3 linked regions of the Cricetulus griseus genome follow. The protein of the gene in region 1 binds, or shares a complex with, the protein of each later gene. Links are inferred from orthologs where the notes say so. Each region holds a gene or a part of one and is shown in the gene's direction. Other genes may lie near its edges. The genes, in order: Med13, Med16 and Ccnc.

Region 1 (6,950 bases):
AGGAAGTCTCCCTGAGTCATAAAAAAGCTATTCCTATAAATATATTTTTACAGCTTTTTAAAAACAAGGTTTAAATATAAAGAAGAATTAAGAGGAGTTATTGATTATATAGGAAATTTTAATACCTTAAATAAAGGGACAGATACTTTGAGTCTCTTTTGCTAAACTGGAATTACAGTTTTAATTTAAAATCTCTTATCTTTTATTGGTTCATAAGTTACTGGTTATTTTTGCTTTTTTTATGTTTTCTTGAGTATACTTTTTTTCCTGTTAATTGAGAGACTTATCAAAAAAATCTTAAGTGATGGATCTATCTGTAAACTAGTATGTTATTTGGCTCTGGTCATAAAATTCAGAAGACCACTTTTTATGATCACTATTTATCTTTTCAGTTACATATGAATGATTAGTACTGTGGGATCACATTGGCTTTTTTTTTTTTTTTTTTTTCCTTCCTGATAGCCTGGATCTAAAAAATCAGCATCTGGATCAGATGATAAAGCCAGCTCCAAAGAATCCAAGACAGGAAGTCTGGATCCATTATCTTGCATAAGTAAGCTTTACAGATCTGTGCTTTAGCTCAATTTGAAAACTCACTCCCCCAGAAAATTCCCTTTGGTTTAAACACAGATTCACTTCTTTTTAGTCTATGTTAAAATGTGTGTTTCATTAAATATAGGCACTGCAGATCTTCACAAGATGTATCCTACACCACCATCATTGGAACAACACATTATGGGATTTTCTCCAATGAATATGAATAATAAAGAATATGGTAGTATGGATACAGCACCTGGAGGAACTGTCCTAGAAGGAAATAGTTCTAGTATAGGAGCACAGTTCAGAATTGAGGTTGAGGAGGGATTCTGTAGCCCCAAACCTTCTGAAATTAAAGTAAGTATTTTTCCAAACAATTAATTCCCTTCCTGTGTTTTCTTATAGGATTAATTGCTGTATTCAAGAGATTTTTTTTCACATTTGATTTTAGCTTTGTGGCTAATATGAGAACTAAATTGTGGGAATACTATGTAAAATGCAGTAAAAACAGAACAGAAAATATTTATACTTTGGTATGTTTAAAGAATAGGGTAAAGAAGACAGTCACTTTGAACATAAGGCACTGAAAGTCTACATTCTTTATATTGTAGGATTTTTCTTATGTCTATAAACCTGAAAATTGTCAAGTTCTAGTAGGATGTTCCATGTTTGCACCTTTAAAAACTCTACCAAGCCATTGTCTGCCTCCTATCAAATTGCCAGAAGAGTGTATTTACCGGCAGAGCTGGACTGTTGGAAAATTGGACTTGCTTCCTTCAGGCCCTTCAATGCCATTCATCAAAGAGGGGTATGGTTGATGTTGTTTTTATAATACTGAATGCTTGTAAAAGTTGTTTTTGTGTATCTGTTAGAGGGATAGCATTGTAGGGTGTGCATGCCTATGAGCCACATGTGAAGGCCAAAGGGAAGTAAACATTGGGTTTCTTCATCTATTGCCCCTTTACTCATTTGAGGCATGGTTTCTCATTGAACCTGAAACTTGCTGTTCTGTCTGGGCTGACAGGCCAGCAATCTTCTGGAATCTGCCTATCTTTGTCTCCCAAATGCTGGGATTACAGCTTGCTCAGCCATACCCAAGGTCTATCCATTTTTTTTGTTGAAGTACCAGGTATGCTGGAAAAAGATGTGTTTTTATGTATAAATAAAAAATAAAATAATAATTCTTGTTTATTATAATGATAATAATAGACATGGATAAACTATTTGAAACCATAGACCTTTTTTTGACTTTAAAAGTACTTTTTCTTTTTGTTTGCAATACTGAGTTGTTCCCATTTTTTGTATCTGTCATTTTACATTTACTTCACATTGTAACAGATAAAATTTAGCATTTTGTTACCAGTTGCGTATTAAAATTACTATCGCCACTTTGTACACATAAACAACTCAAAAGACAGAATTGTTGCTGGCAGTTTTCTTTGTCCCGCCTCTTCAGCCCCAAATAAGCACACACAGACTTATATTAATTATTAAACTGTTGGCTGATTGTTTGGGCTTCTTATTGGCTATCTCTCTCTTAATTGTTAACCCATTTCTATTAATCTATGTATTTCTCCATGGCCTTATCTTACCAGAGAATGGTCAGACCTGTTACTACTTTTGGCGTCTACATAGTGTCTGTTTCTGGCAGGCTCCCTCTGCCTACCTTTCCCAGAATTCTCCTCATCTGATAGTCCCGCCTATCTTCCTGTCTCATTGGCTGAACAGTGTTTTATTCATCAACCAATAAGAGAAACATATATACTGAAGGGCGTCCCCCATCACAGAATTTTTTTTCAATTGTACATGCTTTATCTGCATGTACAACTTGATATCAGAAGAGGACATCAATCTCAACTGTACATGGTTGTGAGCTATGTGGTTGCTGGGAATTGAACTTGGGACCTCTGGAAGATCAACCAGTGCTCTTTAACCGCTGAGCCATCGAACCTAAGAATTTTTTTTTTTTTCTTGTCAATCAGCAGCAACAAGAGTCAATGAGATACAAGTATTTGTAGCATTAGAAATTTATAGAGTAAATATGGTTGTTTAGATGTGGATAACTTTATACAAACTTCATTTGTAATTTTTTGAGACTTTTAAAATTTTATATGTGTGTCCCAACATGACTTCATGTACACATGTGTGCAGGTGCCATGGAGGCCAGAGGACATCAGATCCCTTAGCATTGGAGTTACAGTCGCTTAGTTGTGGGCTGCCTGATGTGGGTGCTGGGAACTGAACTTCTGAACTTGGGTACCCTGTAAATCTAGTTAGCTTACAAGAATCTCCATAGTGAACATGATAAACCTGAAATAAGTCTTAGTTGTACATGTAATCTTCTAGTGATTGCCATATGGAAATTTTCAGTGTTTGCTGAAGAGCATTTGGAGAACTTTTAGTTGTATTTCACATTACTAATGTGTTCCTTTACGCACGTGTTTCTCTTTTTACCTTGGTGACAACAGTGATGGAAGCAATATGGATCAAGATTATGGCCCTGCCTACACACCTCAAACCCATACTTCTTTTGGGATGCCTCCGAGCAGTGCACCCCCTAGTAATGGTGGTGCGGGAATTCTCCCTTCTCCATCCACCCCTAGATTTCCAACTCCAAGGACTCCAAGGACTCCAAGGACTCCTCGTGGAGCTGGTGGACCTGCTAGTGCTCAAGGTTCAGTCAAGTATGAAAATTCAGACTTGTATTCACCAGCTTCCACCCCATCTACATGCAGACCCCTCAATTCTGTTGAACCTGCCACTGTCCCTTCCATCCCCGAAGCACACAGTCTTTATGTAAACCTCATCCTTTCAGAATCAGTTATGAATTTGTTTAAAGACTGTAATTTTGACAGTTGCTGTATTTGTGTTTGCAACATGAATATCAAGGGTGCCGATGTTGGAGTTTACATTCCAGATCCAACGCAGGAAGCACAGTATCGGTGTACCTGTGGCTTCAGTGCTGTCATGAACCGAAAATTTGGAAATAATTCAGGATTATTTCTTGAAGATGAACTTGATATCATAGGACGTAACACAGACTGTGGCAAAGAAGCAGAAAAACGTTTTGAGGCTCTCAGGGCTACCTCTGCAGAAAATGTTAATGGAGGCATAAAGGAATCTGAAAAGGTGCCTGATGAGTTGATATTACTGCTGCAAGATCAATGCACTAATTTATTTTCACCCTTTGGAGCAGCAGACCAAGATCCTTTTCCCAAAATGGGTATAATTAGCAACTGGGTACGTGTTGAAGAGCGGGACTGTTGCAATGACTGCTATCTTGCATTAGAACATGGACGTCAGTTCATGGATAATATGTCGGGAGGAAAGGTTGACGAAGCACTTGTCAAAAGCTCATGCTTGCATCCGTGGGCCAAACAAAATGGTAAGTTTGTGAATGAAGTCAGGTTTTTGTTTCGTTTTTTAGGTATTTGACTTTGACTTTTTTTTTCTGGGGGGTAAAAATATCAAAAGCAATTAGACCTAATAGGTGTGCCGAAATTTGGATTTAACCGTCATGTGAAGACAGTAACGTGCTGGGTGTGATGATGCATGAGTTTAATCCCACCAGAAGCAGGTGGATCTCTTGTTGGAGGCTAAGACTACATAAGGGACTCTGTGTCAGAGAAACAAACAGAAAACCCCAAAAAGACAGTAACATAGAGATTTCTTAGCTGTTTAGTTAAGTTTCAGCAATAAAAATAGGTTATTGTGCATCTGTAATTGTTTAGCCACATAAAAATTTAAAAGGCATGCTGCTTATTTGTTAGCAGAAAATTATTGTTTCCTTCAGCCATGTAATTTTGTCTTTTCAGGTGTCATATACTTTGCTATTTAGCTATGACTTGATTATATTATTAAATATTTACCAAGCACCTTGTTGTTCAACAGTGACCACTATTTTATGGTCACTGTTGAACAGACACACCATTCTCTGGCTTTTATTTTATTTTTTCTTTTTGGTTTGGTTTTTGCTTGTGTGTATGTGGGTGCATAATTACATGTGTTTGGGTTTACGTACATATATGTAGGCCAGATGATAGCCTTTGGTGTCAGGCCTCAGAAACCATCAGTCAGCCTTTTGGGCCCCACCACTGTTTGTTTGGATCAGGCTTCTCATTTCCAAGGCACTGATTGATTATGTCAGAATCTCCTTTCTTTTTGAGCCTATGGTTTAGTGGAGGAGATAGATAGTAAACAACAACAATACATGCTTGCATTATGTACTGGTTATAAGTGCATTAAAGAGAAATCAGTGCAAAACATGTTTGCATGGGAGAAACCTTATGTGCTGTTTAAGAAACATGGTCAGAGATGATAGCGAAGGTTAAGGAACATTTATGGAAAGTCCTGTTTGGAGTGGGAAAAGTGTGAACAATATAGTTAACTGGGGAAACAGTGCTAGTAGACAATGCAGTTCAAAGTCCTTGAGGACATAGTTTTCAGGATAAGTTTGAGAAACATAGGCAGTATTAATGTTGAGTGATGGTCAGACTGATTAGATGATGAAGCCTAAGAGTGTCTGAAACACCAAAATTATTTAATTTGTGTGTGAGCGTGTATGTGTTTGGGTATGTGTGCCATGGCATACATTTGGATGTCAGAGGACGACAGTTTGAGGGTGTTGGTTCTCTCCTTGTACCAACTCAACCCAGGGTTTGAACTCGGGTAGTTAAGCTTGGAAGTGGGCACTTTTTGAACCATGCTGTTAGAATTTATTGTAAATGCTGTAGCAACTATTTTTAATAGAAAAGTAGTCCCACACTGTCTTTTTTGCTTAAGAAAAAAAAATCACTGGCTATTGCATAAAAAATATCCTGGGACGGCAGGTGAAAGTACAAGAAGAAAAATTAGGGAGAAGCCAGTTACAGTAGTCAGTGAGGATGACAGCTTGGAAAAGACTGAAAACAATAGAAGTTGTGGTAGTAGATTCCAGTTTAGATGGAAATATAGACCTACAGAATTGTGCTGATTCGTGTAAGAGAAGATGAAGCATTAACCATGGTTTGTATGAATGTTGGTGCTAACTACAGAGGAGGAAAATAGGAGGAGGTCAAGTACATATTTGGAGATAATAGTTTTAAATTCAGAAGACTGATGAATCTGGAAATGTCTTTTTTTTTTTTAATGTGGGTTATCAGTATTAAATACTATGGTATGTCATTTGTGGTGCACGTGTAATACCAGCACTGGGAAAGTGAAGGAAAGAATCAGAAATTCAAGGTCATATCTGGCTACATGGTAAGTTCAAGGCCACCCTGGGATATATGGGGCCCTTTTCTTTTAAAAGCCTGGAGCTGGATAAGAAATTTTAGGGGAGAGAGGGTCAGGAAGGAATCTGAGAAGAAGCCAGGAAGTAGGGTACTCATGTGTGAGAATATAGAATGAGAGTGAATATATGTATAATGTCTTTGTAAGGGAACAGGAACAGTGTGACAAGACCACTGAATGTGGCACCGTGGAGGTAGTTAAAGAACTTGATAATCATCTCTGTCAGCCTGATTAGCGTGGGTATGAGATTGAGAAACTAATTTAAAATTTGGGGAGACATTTGGTTTAAAATAGAAATTTTATGTTATGGTTAACATTATTATTAATATATACACATGTGTACATGCAGAATAATTCTATCTAGATGAAAAATTTAAATAGACAGTTTCATATATTTTTACCATGTATTCAGATATATTTCACATGAGTACAGTGTGGTACTTTGCTATATGGATACATTATAGAAATAATAAACCAAGCTGATTATCTTATTTAAAATCTTTTATCAGTTATAAAGTACAGAATACAATATTAGTAACTGTGCTCATCATGTTTCTAAATGGACCTCTAAAACTTACTCTTCCTACCTAACTGGAACCTCACTCCGTCTCTCTAGTCCAACCTTCCTCCATAGGAAGAATTATCACAGAACAAAAGGTACCCTTGTAGGAGCAAAGTCATTGAATAAGTGAGGAGTAATAGAGTCAATTCATTTCAGTTAGGTTATAGGAACATGTCTATCACAACAAGAAGAAATGTTATTTATTTGGACAAGAAGAGGGAACATGAACATTTGTAGTGATTGCTTTTGTAGTTATGGATGAAAGCAACTGGAGTTAGTGACAGCGTCATTTGATACTCCTGTCTAATTTCCCATACCAGCAGCTTCAGACATTACCACATATTTAGAAATGTACATTTTCACACTCTGTCCATGATCTTCTAAACCAAAGTCTGGAGATAGGAGTTAGTTCAACCACTTATTACTAATGATGTCTTTGAAAAAGTAATTTTTTATCCTTATTACCTTACCTATTCTTTTTTTTTTTTTTTTTTTGTGTGTGTGTGTGTGTGTGTGTGTGTGTGTGTGTGTGTGTGTATGGTTTGAACCTAGGAACTTGAGTATGCTAGGCAGGTGCTTT
Region 2 (6,950 bases), on another chromosome or scaffold:
GTTTGGATCCACCCTACCTCAGATTTCCAGACACAGTGTGTCCCGGTTTGAAAGGCTCATGGTGGCAGAGCCAGGCTCCCTGTTGCCAGGGAAAGCAGTCATATACCAGTCACTGTCCTCCGACTCTAATGTTGGTTATGGCTGCACTGGATAACCCTCCCCGGGGGATAAGTGGCATGGAGGGGCACTCAGGGAGAGGGGAAATGGGCGTGGGAATCCTGGGACACTGTGAGCCACACCGACCTCACCTGTTCTCCTTCCATCGCAGACCTGACACATATGATCCATATCCTAGACACCGAACATCCCTGGGAAGTGCACTCTGTCAACTCTGGCCACAGCGAGGCCATCACCTGCCTGGAATGGGACCAGTCAGGTGATGCCACGAAGTTCACTCTCATTCCAGAGCCCTGAGCAGCATGGGCTGCCTTCTTCAGTTCTCAGTCCTAAATCCAGAGTCACTGGGAGTCCAGAGTGTGGGGGCAGGGGGTGGCAGTCAACCTGCCCCTCAGGAGGGTTCCTGATGGCACTCTGTCACCACAGGCTCACGGCTCCTGTCAGCCGATGCTGACGGGCATATCAAATGTTGGAGCATGGCTGACCACTTGGCCAACAGCTGGGAGAGCTCAGTGGGAAGCCAGGTGGAGGGGGACTCCATCGTGGCGCTGTCCTGGCTGCACAACGGCGTGAAACTGGCCCTGCACGTGGAGAAGGTGAGGGGACTTACGTGTGGCGGAGTTGTGAGTGACCAACCTGTCTCTCCCTTGCCGCTGCCAGAATTCTCTGTCATGTGCCAGGCCTGTTTGCGTGGGATACCTGTCAGTAACTGCCATCCGTGAGCTCCTGTCCCCAAGAACATGCTTAACTACAGCTATTGTCCCCCTGAGCCTCCCCTTTCAGTGATGGGATGATGGTCCCTATAGAGTGACCCTGTTCCACAGGCAGCTGCATCCAATGGTGTCCTGTTTTACAGATGACTGCTATGTGGTCTTCAGACCCCACTCTACTGTGATTTAATGACGACCACAATTCCCCTATCCATGTGTATTCTGGAGTTCAACCAGTGAGGAGTGAGCACCAACAGACATCTGAGATGTCTGTTTCCTCGGAGGTAGATGCCTTTGAGGAAGGGGGCATGGCCAGGTCCTTGGGGACCAGCAGCTTCCACACACCTGCTGAGACCACGCCTACATGTGGCCACTCACCAGCTCCCACATCATGACATGGAGACCAATTAGTTATGAATGCTCTGCCTTAGCTTAGGCTTGTCCCACTAGCTTTTTTTGTTTGTTTGTTTTCTGGACAGGGTTTCTCTGTGGCTTTGGAGCCTATCCTGGAACTCGCTCTGTAGACCAGGCTGGTCTCCAACTCACAGAGATCTGCCTGCCTCTGCACCACACCACCACCACCATCTGGCTCCCACTAGCTTTTTTTTTTTTTTTAAGATTTTTATTTATTTATTATGCATACAACATTCTGCTTTCATGTATATCTGCACACCGGAAGAGGGCACCAGATCTCATAAGGGATGGTTGTGAGCCACCATGTGGTTGCTGGGAATTGAACTCAGGACCTCTGGAAGAGTAGTTGGTGCTCTTAACCTCTGAGCCATCTCTCCAGCCCTCCCACTAGCTCTTATAACTTATTTTAACCTGTTTCTCTTCATCTGTGTTTTGCCTCAGGGCTTTTTACATTTCTTTCATTCTGTATGTCCTACTTTTCTTGCTTCTCCTGTGTCTGGCTGGCCAACCCCAGGCATCTTTCTCTCTCTCTCTCTCTCTTTCTCTCTCTCTCTCTCTCTCTCTCTCTCTCTCTCTCATTTATTTATTTATTGGTTTTTCGAGACAGGGTTTCTCTGTGCAGCTTTGGAGCCTATCCTGGCACTCGCTCTGTAGACCATTCTGGCCTCGAACTCACAGAGATCCACCTGCCTCTGCCTCCTGAGTGCCGGGATTAAAGGTGTGCGCCACCAAAGCCCGGCTTATCGTCTCCTTCCTTTTCTCCCGAGTTCTCTCTTGTTCTTCCTTTTCCTCCTTATTGTCTCTGCCCACCAGCCCCACCTAGCCCTCTACTGTCTAGCAATTGACTATTTCAGCTTCTTATTCCGACAAATCAGCAGCCTTAGGCAGGCAATGCAAAACAAATGTAACACATCTTCACATAGTTAAACAAATGCAGCATAAACAAATGTAACACATTTTTATATAGTTAAAAAAAAAAGGCCGGACCTGGTGGCATTTACCAATCCCGGCACTGAGGAGGCAAATAGCTCTGAGCTTAAGGTCAGCCTGGTCTACATAGCCAGTCCCTGTCTAACCAGGACTAAACAGTGACACTTTGCCTCCCAAATTTAATGTAGGGCCTGGAGAGGTTGCTCAGTGGTTAGAGCACCGGCTGCCTCTGCCCTCTGCAGAGGACCTGGGTTACATCCCAGCATTCATATGCTGGCTCACAACCACGTGTAACTCCAGCTTCAAGGGATCCAACCCCTTCTTCTGACCTCCACAGACTTCTCACCCATGAGATGCACATATATACCTCCAGAGAAACCACTCAAACACTTTCCAGTTTTTTGAGACAGGCTTCCTCATTGTAGCCCTGGCTGTTCTGGAAATCACTCTGTAGACCAGGCTGGCCTCAAACTCAGAGAGGTTACAACAGAAAGTGAAGAACCAAGTTTAACCCCCTGAGAAGTACACGGCTTGTGCATTACTGTGCGCTAGAGAGGCCTCCTTCATGCAGTGCTCTTGCCGAATTGTTGCTCGGTGCTTGTGGGGCCATAGAAGGTGGACCCCAAGGAGCTGAGCAAACCCTTCCTTCTGTTTCCCTTTCCTGCAGTCGGGTGCTTCCAGCTTTGGGGAGAAGTTCTCCCGTGTGAAATTCTCTCCTTCACTCACGCTGTTTGGTGGCAAGCCCATGGAGGGCTGGATTGCGGTGACAGTTAGTGGCCTAGTGACTGTGTCCCTGCTGAAGCCGAGCGGGCAAGTGCTGACATCCACTGAGAGCCTGTGCCGGCTTCGAGGCCGAGTGGCACTTGCTGATATCGCCTTCACAGGCGGTGGGAACATTGTGGTGGCTGCTGCAGACGGTAGCAGCGCGTCACCCGTGAAATTCTACAAGGTGTGCGTGAGTGTGGTGAGCGAGAAGTGCCGAATAGATACTGAGATCCTGCCCTCCTTGTTCATGCGGTGCACCACCGACCCCAACCGAAAGGACAGGTTCCCCGCCATCACACACCTCAAGTTCCTGGCCCGAGACATGTCTGAGCAGGTAAGCATAGCTTCATCCCCAGCCCAGCTGGCCATGACTTGTCCTGAGATCAGAATCTGACAGGGACCTGGTCGGGCAGGAAAGGTCCTTCCTGGTGGCCCAGCCATGCCAGCATTCAGAGGCCCTGCACCCCTTGGCTTGTGGCTCCTTCATCCACCTTCAAAGCTGACATGGTGTCTCCCATTCTCCCTGCCTCTCACCATCCTACCTCACAACCCCACAGTGAAACCAGGCTCTGGATGGTCCAGGCAAATCCTCAGCTTGAGTCCCTCTCCTGAGTCCCCTGACCTGTCTTTGGGGCTGTCATCCCACTGGTTACGGGTCACCTGGGTTCTCACTGTGTGAATTCATGAGGCCCTGTGCCTCCTGGCATATCTTGTAGACCCATCCCTGGAGGATGCAAATGAGGCACCCGTGGTAGGGGCCCTGGGGTCAGCCCCCACTCCTCACTGAACCCCACCCCCAGGTGCTCCTATGTGCCTCCAGCCAGACCAGCAGCCTGGTGGAGTGCTGGTCCCTGCGGAAGGAGGGCCTGCCTGTGAACAACATCTTCCAGCAGATCTCTCCTGTGGGTGAGTCAGCCAGGGTTCGTGAGCCACCAGGGTCCATTAGCTCATGGGATTTGAGGTTTATATGGGACAGGGTCTCTCTCTGTGTGTCCCTGGCTGGCCTGTAATGTTCAGTACCACACCTGCCTCTGCCTACTGAGCCCCAGGCTCTTCTCAGATTAATTTCCAAAGTCCCAGGAGGCTGTTGGCTTCCTGGCTAGAGTGGGATACTAAGGTTCCCTAGGCAGGACAGCCTGGAAACCCCGGGATTGAGGAAATGCCCTGTACAAAGGTCCTGCAGCTGGAGCAGAGAAAAAGGGCTGAGCTGTCAAGAGGGCATGCACAGCCACATCTACTTTTAAATCTACTTTAAAAGCCACAGAGTCTTCTAGAAATCCCAGTGCAGAGTGCAGTCTGCTGGCTTTACCAGCCCATCTCTGGAGAGCACCTCCTGTAACCCTCTTGCTCTCCTAGACCCCCACCTTCCTTCCCTGAGCCTGCCCTGCAACAGCCTGGCTCAGAAAGGAAAGTGTGATGGGAGGTGGGAGAGTTAATGGACCCCGGTGGCTTAAAAGGTGGCTTAGAGGACTTAATTGGCGGCCCTAATGAAGTTGTGTCAAGAGGCCACTCAACTCACTGCAGTTACATAAACTGCCTGTTGTGGCCATCGAGTAATTAAATGTGAATAGCATCCCCACTGTGCTTCCTGCAGATGTCTGGGCTCGAAGGCTGGCCTGGCTGGCTGGCAGCACCTGCCACACATGCCCACTGGCCCTTCTGTGCACATGCTGCCTGCTGTGTGCCTGGTCCGGGGTGAACACACCAGCCAGGGCCCAGTTCTCCAGCCCAGTGGGTGGTGCCTGGTAGGGAAGCCAAGGCATGGTGACCATGGTGACAGGAGCTGGCTGTGGTCAAGGCAGGGATGTGACCAAGAGGCCCTGGATACCAGCCGCTAGGTTCCATTGCCCACTGACTTGTGGATCTTTTTTGTTTGATTTTTTTTTTTTTTTTTTTTTTTTTCGAGACAGGATTTCCCTGTGGCTTTGAAGGCTGTCCTAGAACTAGCTCTTGTAGACCAGGCTGGTCTTGAACTCACAGAAATCCGCCTGCCTCTGCCTCCCTAGTGCTGGGACTAAAGGCGTGCGCCACCACCACCCGGCATTTGTTTGAATTTTAAAAGTCCTGTACCCTATAGCCCCAACCCTATCTAGCGTCAGACTCTCAGTGGTCCTCCTACCCCTGCCTCTCCAGAGCTGGTAAGACTGGCATGCACCACTCATCTGTCTCCACCTCTGCTTCTTATGCCCCTTGTGAGAGAACACCCTTCACCACAAGGAGTCCTGACTGCTCCAAACAGTTGGCTGTAGCCATTCTGGCCTCAGTTTCCCCTTGGGAGTGACACTTGCTGGTGCTCCCTGTGGGGTCAGGACTGGTTTCAAAGATGGGGACTGACATACAGATAACCAGTCTCAGACTGGAGGGGGGGTGTGGCGGTGGCGGCAGTGCATGCCTTTAATCCCAGCAGAGGCAGAGGCTGTGGGTCTTTGTAAGTTCAAGGTCAGCCTGATCTACAGAGTGAGTTCCAGGACAGGCTCCAAAAGCTATAGAGAAACCCTGTCTTGAAAAACAAAACAAAAACACAAATAACTGGTCTTAGAGGGGCTGGGCTCCATCCCCAGCAGGTAATGAACTGGGCATAGTGGGGAATACCAGCACCAAAGAGGTGGAGCCAGGAGGGTAAGAGTTCAAGTCTAGCCTGGGCTTCATAGAGGTTTCAAGCCAGTGTGGGGTACATGAGACCCTGTTTCAAAACAGACAAGAAAAATCCTTGGACTGGATCCTACTGGTCCTCAGGTCAGGTAACACCCTCAGGCCAACTGGCTGGAGGAGGAGAAGTGCTCTGATTGACTATGCCTAGTCCTCTTCCCAAATCGGGACAGGAGTGGCCCTGCTACCCTGAGGTGGACTTCTCTCTGTACCCCTCCCACACCCCTTTCTTTTCCTGACCCAATTGACCAGTTGGCGACAAACAGCCCATGATCCTCAAGTGGCGGATCCTGTCAGCCACCAATGACCTGGACCGTGTATCAGCTGTGGCACTGCCCAAACTTCCCATCTCACTCACCAACACAGACCTCAAGGTGGCCAGTGAAACCCAGTTCTATCCTGGCCTCGGTATGTTGCACCCAGGAGCAACCAGCACAGCACCTGGATGTGTGGGGTGGGAAGTGGACTGTGAGTGCTGTGGGTTCCCAGTCTCATGTGATGAATGTGGACTGTCCCCCAGAACCAAGGGTCCTGAAAGTTGCCAAATAGCTGTGCTCCTAAATATGTAAAGACCTGTGGCTAGTTAACACAAAGCTGCATTCCTTAATATGTAGAGTTGTAGCTGATTAACAAAATGTTACAGTCCTTAAGATGTGTGCAGCTGTAACCAGTTAGTAGAAAGCTGTGCTCAATATGTAAAGAGCTGTGGCTAACGGACAGAGAGTTGGGACGATGGGGTGAAGAAACCCTTTTGCAGAGCAGACACATAATCACAAAAGTATATATGTATCATCCAGGGTTCGACTCCCTTAAGTCCCTGCCTGTAAGTCAGTCAGGTGCCTTCTCAGCTGCTCAGCTGTGAGGTGGGATTGCCTCTAGGTTTCTAGGTCTTTATTTTCCTGGCTCACTCCTATATGATGGGGAGAATGCATTAAAGGTGGGGGCAGTGGCTGAGCCTGAGGAGGACCCTGGGACAGAGCTTGGGGCTCTCTGGATCTTGAGGTCACTAAGGGAGACAGAGAGAGCAGCACTGCTCAGCCTGCCCTGACTGCACTCCCCTCCTCCCAGGCTTGGTGCTGGCCTTCCAGGATGGCAGCGTGCAAATGGTACATCGACTGTCACTGCAGACTATGGCGGCTTTCTACAGTTCAACCCCACGCTCACTGGATGAGCCCACCCTGAAGCGTCCACGCACCACAGGCCCAGCTGTACACTTCAAAGCTATGCAGCTGTCCTGGACATCACTGGCCCTGGTGGGCATTGACAACCATGGGAAGGTGAGTGCCCAGACCGACCAGGAGGGCAGAGGAGCGGTTGGGGAGAGGTTTTGGTGAGCAGCAGTCCCTCAGCACAGCCTCCCCCCAG
Region 3 (7,430 bases), on another chromosome or scaffold:
GCTCAGAGACCAACAGTTGGCAGAACTCTCTAGCTATTCGAGTCACTACAGGCCCTCCAGTCCTCCATAAAGGCTCTTTGTTCATTGTATTGAGAGACCCAACCAATCTCTGAATCTACCACCAGTTTCCTCTTGTTCAAGTCTGGTGATGTTGTCTGGTAGCGGCTATCCAAAGGAGTGCTGGGAACAACATGAAATGGAAGGTAGCTGCCATTATACCATGGATCTGCCACACCCAGATTAAGAAAGCAGAAGCCACAGATAAGGATGCCAAATAGAGTGTCTCCAAATATGGCACCCAACATCTGGCACCTACATCCATATAAGACCTGAAAAAGCTTTTAAAACATTCTAAACACACACAAATGGTATCAAACACAGCTTTCTAGTCTCTCCTGTTGGCTGTTCGTTGTGTCTCCTGGAAGCTGCCATCGAGCCATGAGCTAAGCCACATGGCAGGTTCCTGCAGTCTCTCACACAGGCTGCAGTACAGACAGGTGATGGGTATCAAGATTACAGACAAGCAACTCATATTCATCTAGAACTTTACTCACTGATGCCCATTTTAAATGTCTGGTTGTATTAAGGAAAGGAAAGATGTGGGCACTTATCTTTTGAGATTAAAAATACAGAGTTTACAATTCTATGCATTCCCTGTGGCTAAGCCCACTAATCAACAAAGACAAGGGAGTGTCCATTGTAAAAAATTGGGATTGTGCCCTGAGCAAATTGAGAACATGGGAAGAGGGGGGAGGAAGCTACGAGAGTGAGAAGGGAAGAAAAGGAAGGATGCAGAGGTCACAAGGAAGCAGAAATTTTGAGTCAGGTGTAGATTAGAAGAAAGGACATATGACAGGTAGGATTTTAGTTGGGGGTGGGGTGGTAGAGGAGGAAGGGAGGGAGAAGGGAACTGGGATCGTCATGTAATTCAATCTTGTTTGTAATTCAAATATATAAAAATAAATAAATAATTGGGATTGTAAAACAGAGGCTTCCTGAAAACAAACCGATAAACACAAACACACACACACACACACACACACACTCACACACACACTCACACACACACACACACACACACACACACACACACACACACACACACACGACGCCCCCCTCCAAGGAATGCACAATAGGAAAATGTAATCTAATGGCCATAAGATAAAGGTCTAAAGAATTCCTTAAATATTCCGGCTTTGGGAAATAGGGAGAACCTGATGACTCTATGCCACAGGAAAGGACTCTGGATATAGAATTACTATCCAGAAAAAAACTGCCCGCCCCCCAGGCTCCCAGAACTTTGGGTCTCAACAAAGATCTCCTTCGTGGGCTAAGGCTCCAACCACCTCTCCCCTTCAAAAGCATTTAACATACCTGGGCCAGAGTCCCACCTCTCAAGTTAATCCCAGTTAGAAACTGGCCAGGATTGCTGGTTATGCTTAGACCCCTGACCCCCATACTACATAGGGGTCGGAACTAACCAGACTGTCAATCCACTCAAGGAGGGGGAAGAGGAAGGAGAGAAATGATGTAATATAATTAAATTTCAATTAAAAATAAAATTTAAAGGTGTGTGTGTGTGTGTGTGTGTGTGTGTGTGTAGACATGCACAGTACATGCAGCTACCCATGGCGGCTAGAAATTGTTGATCCCCTGGGGCTGGCCATTGCAGCAGGTGGTTATAAGCCACCTGATGTGTGTGCTGGGAACTAACTCTAGTCTTCTGACAGAGCCACAAACACACTCAACTTCTGAGCCATCTGTCTAGCCTCTCCTAACATTTTTTATTGATACATATTTTGTTCTTCAACAGCCATTCCCAACTAACTGAATCCAAAAAGTGAACCCTGAAATTCCCCCCAAACTGTATGAACTAGTACTGTAAATCAACACAATCATCGGTCACTGCAGAGATAACTGTTTTATGTATCAGGAGCTAGTGGTCAGACAGAGAAGTTCTTTCTCATATCAAGACAGCACCGTGTTAACTAAAACCAAGTTCTTTTTCATCTGTACTGTAATTTAGGCTTTCTTATGTAATAGAAGCTAAGAGTAGGCCCCGGCATGGTGGCACACGCCTTTAATCCTGGCATTCTGGAGGCAGGAAACAAGGACTGACCTGAAATTCCTACTGTCCCTGCCTCAGCCACTGAAGTGAGGTACTGAGTGCATGTTACAATAATAGAAACTCGCTATTGCTCGTTCTGTAAAACTAAATTATTGCATTTCTGTAGTATTTCAATTTTGGGGCATGCATGTGCATCCGTGTGGCTAGATGTGTATTCATACGCCCATATGTTTTCAGGTGGACAAACGATGGCTCTGACATTAAAAGATTGCTGCTATTCTAAAATGTCCACACGAAAACCCATTAACTCGTTAGGCTCAGCTCCGGCAGAAGTCACTAAGAGCGCTTAAATCTATTTCTCCTTCCAATGCTAGGAAAACGAGCAATCACACATATGTTACGCTTTCTTACAATGCCACAGTACTATTCTAGGTGGGTTAGCAAGATGCCTAGACGGATCCAGAAGAAAAACTGCAAAGCAGCAGAAATCCAGAAGGTGCCTGCTCTAGGGCGGAGCTCTCGGGAGAGCGGCTCTCCACCGCGAGCTTCCGCCTCTGCTTGCTCTAGTTCCGGTCTCCGGCCTCCGGCCTCTCTCGTGTCTGTCTGCTCGCTTTCTCCGGCGCTAAGGCGGGCCGGAACTTTTGTCATCCGGAACCGGTGTACGCAATTCCGTGTTGCGGACCGGCGTCTAGGCGACGACGGCGCTGTTCTCTTCCTCCGGCGGCGGTCGCTGCGGAGCTCAGCCCAGCCAGCCTGGTTGAGGAGCGCGCCCGGCTGGACTGGGTCTATGGTGGCTCCGTGGGCCGCTCTGCTGGCTGGTGCTTTTGTATCAGGGCCCGCAGTATTCCATGGCAGGGAACTTCTGGCAGAGCTCCCACTAGTGAGTGAGCTTCCGTTTGCTCCCGCGGGACTGGTTCTGGGGCCCGGGGAGGACTGGGCCTGCGACTCCCTAGGGCCTGCGGATCTTGGAGTGTGGGCGAGCCCTCCCGGGGAAGCTAGGCGAGCTTGTTGGCGGGCCTCGGAGCCTCGGGGGCTGGGTGAGCCTGAAGGATGGGCGAGAGGACAGGTGTCCGACGGAAGACTGAGGCTGTTTCAGTTTGTATTTGGGGGTTAGCTGTGAGTGGGATGATGTGGGCACAGGCACGTTGTAGCCTGTTCGGACGGGTATGGGTTGCTTTTGCTAGGTCTTGTTGAGAGCAAAGACGTTACAATCTCTTGTCATTCGCCTTACTTGCAGATCTAATATTGCCTAGATTGTCGATCCGGTTTTTGGTTTGTTGGTTTGTTTGCCCCTGCCTCTTCCTCCTGAGTCGTGCGCCACCACTTCCCGGCTTCTCAGTAGACGTTTATGCCCCTAGAATATAGAGAGCGCAGTTGCTCTCAACATGTATGCATTTTCATTCATTAGCCAGTGTCTTCTGTTTTGCGTTAAAAGTGTGTATTTCTCAGGTTTTATCTATTCCTTGAACCATTTAAATGAGTGAATTCGGGTGCCTGCCTGTCAGTGGTCATGGAAGGGCTAAAGTAATATTTGAGACATTTCTCTCTAAATGCATTGGTTAAACGTGCAGCGAGGTTGTGTGATCTGGCTAAGCTTTGAGCAGGTTTTTCACTGAATACTTAAAAACTGAACGGGACTTAATACAAGACATCGTAGCTTAAGTAAATCTTAGGGTGAAGAAACTAACGAAATTTTAGTTCTGTGAATTGGATTGGCTCCTTTTCCTCTTTACCCCAAGAACGGGGAAGAAGGAAACAGTGAGTTTGTAAACCTGTTTCTGGAAAGCATGTTTTCTCTTGCTACAAAGTGATTTTAGGGAGATGAGCTGCTCGTGGAGCATCACTATGCGACATAGTATTTCTGGTTGTTTACAGTCACTGAGATGTTTTAGATGAAGTTGAAATACAGAAGGAGATGACTCAAAAAGGCGGAATTAAGTTGGAGCCTGTAATTCTGGCACTTGGACTGCCTTCATCGTCTGTCTCAGTGACGTAATACTGGAACAGACAGTAAGTCTTTGGGTATAGTAAGAATCTATCTTTGAGGAAGGGCCTTTGTATCAAGGGTTTCGAGAACCAGTGTGCTGGCTCTTTGTACAAATGACAGTATGAAAGAAGTCTGGAAAAAAGTAGAGAGCCTTTGAAAAACATCAAGAGACATATCCTCCCCCCCCCCCCCCCGCGCGCGCCCAAGTCCTGGAACTAGCTCTTGTAGACAAGACTTGTCTCTAACTCACAGAGATCCGCCTGCCTCTGTCTCCAGAGTGCTGGGATTAAAGCCAATTCTTTGCCCTCAAGTTCTCCTATTTTTTCCTGCTGAGACTGTAGGTGAGCTGCTGAAAAGCTAGAGAAATCATATGAGTGACTCCCCTGAGAGTTTAAAATGACATCCTTATTTAGTGACCAGACTGAATGAGAGTCAAACACAGCAAACTGACACAGAATTATTTGAAGATAGTCAGCAAAACAGTCAACAAGTAGTGTCAAGAACCAAAGGGATTAAATTGGTTTGTCGACAAGACTGTGAAACTTGAGGGATGATAGTGAAAATTCTGGTTGAAAAAAAAAATCTCATTAGAAAAATATTTATTTTCCTCTGAGGCAGAATCTGCTTAAAATGGGTGAACATGTGTTGAAGGACTCAAGATTTTCATTGTTTTATATAATTTACTCAATATTTTAGAGACCTATTTAGAAGAATTAATGCTAAGAGTGTGTGTGTGTGTGTGTGTGTGTGTGTGTGTGTGTGTGTGTGTGTGTGAGTGAGTGTGTGTGTGTGTGTGTGTGTGTGTGTGTGTGTGTGTGTGTGTATTTCAGAGATAGGCTAGTGCTTTGTCTACCTCTGATATATTTCTATCCAGACATTGTCTTTTACGGATGTACCTCCAAAGAAGAAGAAGCTGGGTATGTTACCACATGCCTTTAAACCTAGCAGTGATGGGGGTGAGGTGTTGTTGGCAGGTGGATCTCTGAATGTGAAGCCAGCCTGGTCTACAGAAGTGAGTTCCAGGACAGCCATGACTACAAGAGAAACCCTGTCTCAGAGGAGAAAAAAAGGAATGTACTTCTTAGAATAGATCAGCTTGTTAAATCTTAAAAAGTTTTAGGTGCTTTTGCTTGTTGGCGTTCTACACTGTGTTTTATTATCTTCTTTACTTTTTCCAGTTTGCAGTGGATTTTGGATAAACAAGATCTGTTGAAAGAGCGCCAGAAGGACTTAAAATTTCTCTCAGAAGAAGAGTATTGGAAGTTACAAATATTTTTTACAAATGGTACAATTTTAAGTTGGTTGAAGTAGTATAGTATAGCTGGTCACCTTTGAGACTTGTTTGTGGTAATTTTCAATGGATTATTGCAGTCTATAGTTAATGTTCTTATTTATACATTTATCGTTTTAGTGTGCTTGGTAACACTTTTTGCACTTTATGTGTTGGAAGCACAGTGTTAGCTAATGTCCTTGGGTATTTCTAGTGCGGCCTCTTTTAAGGTTGGTTAAGACAAAGTAAAAATAAGTAATTCTTTAAATTGGCATCCTGTAGTTGTCATTTTTACCTTATAATTTTACATTAGGAAGAAGGGGGTTTAAATCGGGGTGGTGGTGGTGAATGCCTTTAATCCCAGAACTTGGGAGGCAGAGGCAGGTGGATCTCTGTGAGTTCAAGACCAGTATGGTCTATAAGAGCTAGTTCCAGGACAGCCTCCAAAGCCATAAAGAAACCCTGTCTCTAAAAACAAAAAACAAAAAACAAAAAACAAAAAAAAAAGAAGGGGGTTTAGTCAGGAGACCTTTACTCTGCTGGGATAGCTTTGTTGCCTGGTATTTTTTAAAATAAATTTTATTTTTTTTTATGTATGGGTATTTTGCCTGCATGTGTATCTGTGCACTATATGTTATATAGTGACAAGGAGGCTTGGATCCCTAGGGACTGGAGTTACAAATGATTGTGAGCCACCATGTGGGTGCTGGGAATGGAACTTGGGTCTTCTGCAAGAGTTAGGACTTTTTATGAAAATAATCTGAAAAGTATTAAAAGGAATATTTGATAGTCAACTTCCTTATAGCAAGATAACTTGTAGGTGGTTTCTATTTCTTGGTTTTGCATGTTGCTATATTTGCAAGTCTTAGGCAGCTGTGGATCAGAGGGTGTCAGAGAGTGCCTAGCTATGAGTGGACATAATTCTAACATGTAGAAATTACTGTTAAAAGTTAATGTTATTAATGTTACTATAATGGTGCCAGGTGAAACATTAAAATTTTATTATTTCCCTTTTAGTCATCCAAGCATTAGGTGAACATCTTAAATTAAGACAACAGGTTATTGCTACTGCTACAGTCTATTTCAAGAGGTTCTATGCCAGGTATGGCTGTTTTATTTTTTTGTTAGCCTGTTTGAGGTTCTCTTCTGATTTCCATATGCCATATATAAGTAAGTCACTTGATTGCTATAGAATTATGATTGCCTGATTACCCAGTGTGTCTTCTAAATGGACATAATTTAACTCTTGTCTAATCATGTTTTAGGTATTCTCTGAAAAGTATAGATCCTGTATTAATGGCTCCTACATGTGTGTTTCTGGCATCCAAAGTAGAGGTATAAAACAATTTTTTGCTCTTCATCAACCTATAATATTATGTACAGTTAATCTTTTTTTATATTGCCTTTGTATGGATAATCTTAAGGGGTAATTTATACAAGATAATACATACATCTTGCAAGTAATTTTATATATTTAATAAATATGGCACTTACTATGTATCAGATGCTTTAATGAGACTATAAGTTTTTGTTTAATCCTATAACTGTAGAGTATATAGCAATAGGGTAAAAGGGCCTTGACCTTGACTTGATCTGAGACCAGAGCCAGGGAGAGAACACCTTGACTCTTAAATAACCTGAGACCAAGATTAAGAAAAAGAATCCACCAGTCCCTGAGCTTGCACAAAATCAGGCCACAAAAATCCCACCAATTCCATACTACCCTGGAATTCTCTGCTCACCAAGAAACCCTATATAAAGCCTGCCTTCTACTCAGTTCCCTACTGCTTCTCATCCAAGCAGAGGCAGCCACCCTCCTGGGTTTTCCTTCCCTCCCAATAAATCTCTTGTGTGAGGTTTGTTGTGCAGCGTGACTTTGTAGAATGCCTTGGCTCCTGATTGCCGGGATGCCTTTCCCTTTAGACATGCAGCACTTCTATGGGGGAAGCCTTTCCTCTCAGAGCTGTAGTACTTTCATTGAGGAAACCTTCCCCCTCAGCTGACAATGCCTGCATTAGGTAAGCCTTTCCCCTCAGCTGTGATACCACCATTGGGGGTACTTCTCTTCAGAACTGTCAACACTGTCATAAGGGAAGTCTTTCCCC

What was found.
Region 2: Med13 (region 1) and Med16 share a complex: the UniProt entries of both Homo sapiens proteins name them as parts of the mediator complex. The link is inferred for Cricetulus griseus from reciprocal best matches to the Homo sapiens genes MED13 and MED16.
Region 3: the proteins of Med13 (region 1) and Ccnc are in contact, whole or in part, in a cryo-EM structure (PDB 8TQC), measured with the Homo sapiens proteins. The link is inferred for Cricetulus griseus from reciprocal best matches to the Homo sapiens genes MED13 and CCNC. Residues at the interface, in NP_005112.2 of Homo sapiens: Tyr1342, Ser1630, His1631, Val1732, Lys1733, Thr1734, Thr1736, Phe1738, Gly1739, Pro1740, Gly1741, Ala1743, Arg1897, Met1898, Ile1901, Asp1905; in NP_005181.2 of Homo sapiens: Gln7, Gln13, Trp14, Leu16, Gln19, Lys23, Gln26, Lys27, Arg75, Tyr76, Glu144, Leu145, Asp147, Cys148, Ser221.

What each region holds. Positions count from the first base shown.
Region 1 is NC_048600.1:99,545,270-99,552,219, reverse strand, and holds part of Med13 (mediator of RNA polymerase II transcription subunit 13), read left to right. Parts: intron 1-462; coding exon 463-553; intron 554-679; coding exon 680-894; intron 895-1,148; coding exon 1,149-1,345; intron 1,346-3,005; coding exon 3,006-3,922; intron 3,923-6,950. UniProt on the Homo sapiens protein: Component of the Mediator complex, a coactivator involved in the regulated transcription of nearly all RNA polymerase II-dependent genes.
Region 2 is NC_048598.1:100,699,502-100,706,451, reverse strand, and holds part of Med16 (mediator of RNA polymerase II transcription subunit 16), read left to right. Parts: intron 1-268; coding exon 269-376; intron 377-543; coding exon 544-713; intron 714-2,838; coding exon 2,839-3,270; intron 3,271-3,736; coding exon 3,737-3,842; intron 3,843-5,837; coding exon 5,838-5,993; intron 5,994-6,653; coding exon 6,654-6,862; intron 6,863-6,950. UniProt on the Homo sapiens protein: Component of the Mediator complex, a coactivator involved in the regulated transcription of nearly all RNA polymerase II-dependent genes.
Region 3 is NC_048595.1:119,719,363-119,726,792, reverse strand, and holds the start of Ccnc (cyclin-C), read left to right. Parts: upstream 1-2,750; 5' UTR 2,751-2,916; coding exon 2,917-2,948; intron 2,949-3,943; exon of another isoform or gene 3,944-4,078; intron 4,079-5,233; coding exon 5,234-5,340; intron 5,341-6,342; coding exon 6,343-6,427; intron 6,428-6,590; coding exon 6,591-6,660; intron 6,661-7,430. UniProt on the Homo sapiens protein: Component of the Mediator complex, a coactivator involved in regulated gene transcription of nearly all RNA polymerase II-dependent genes.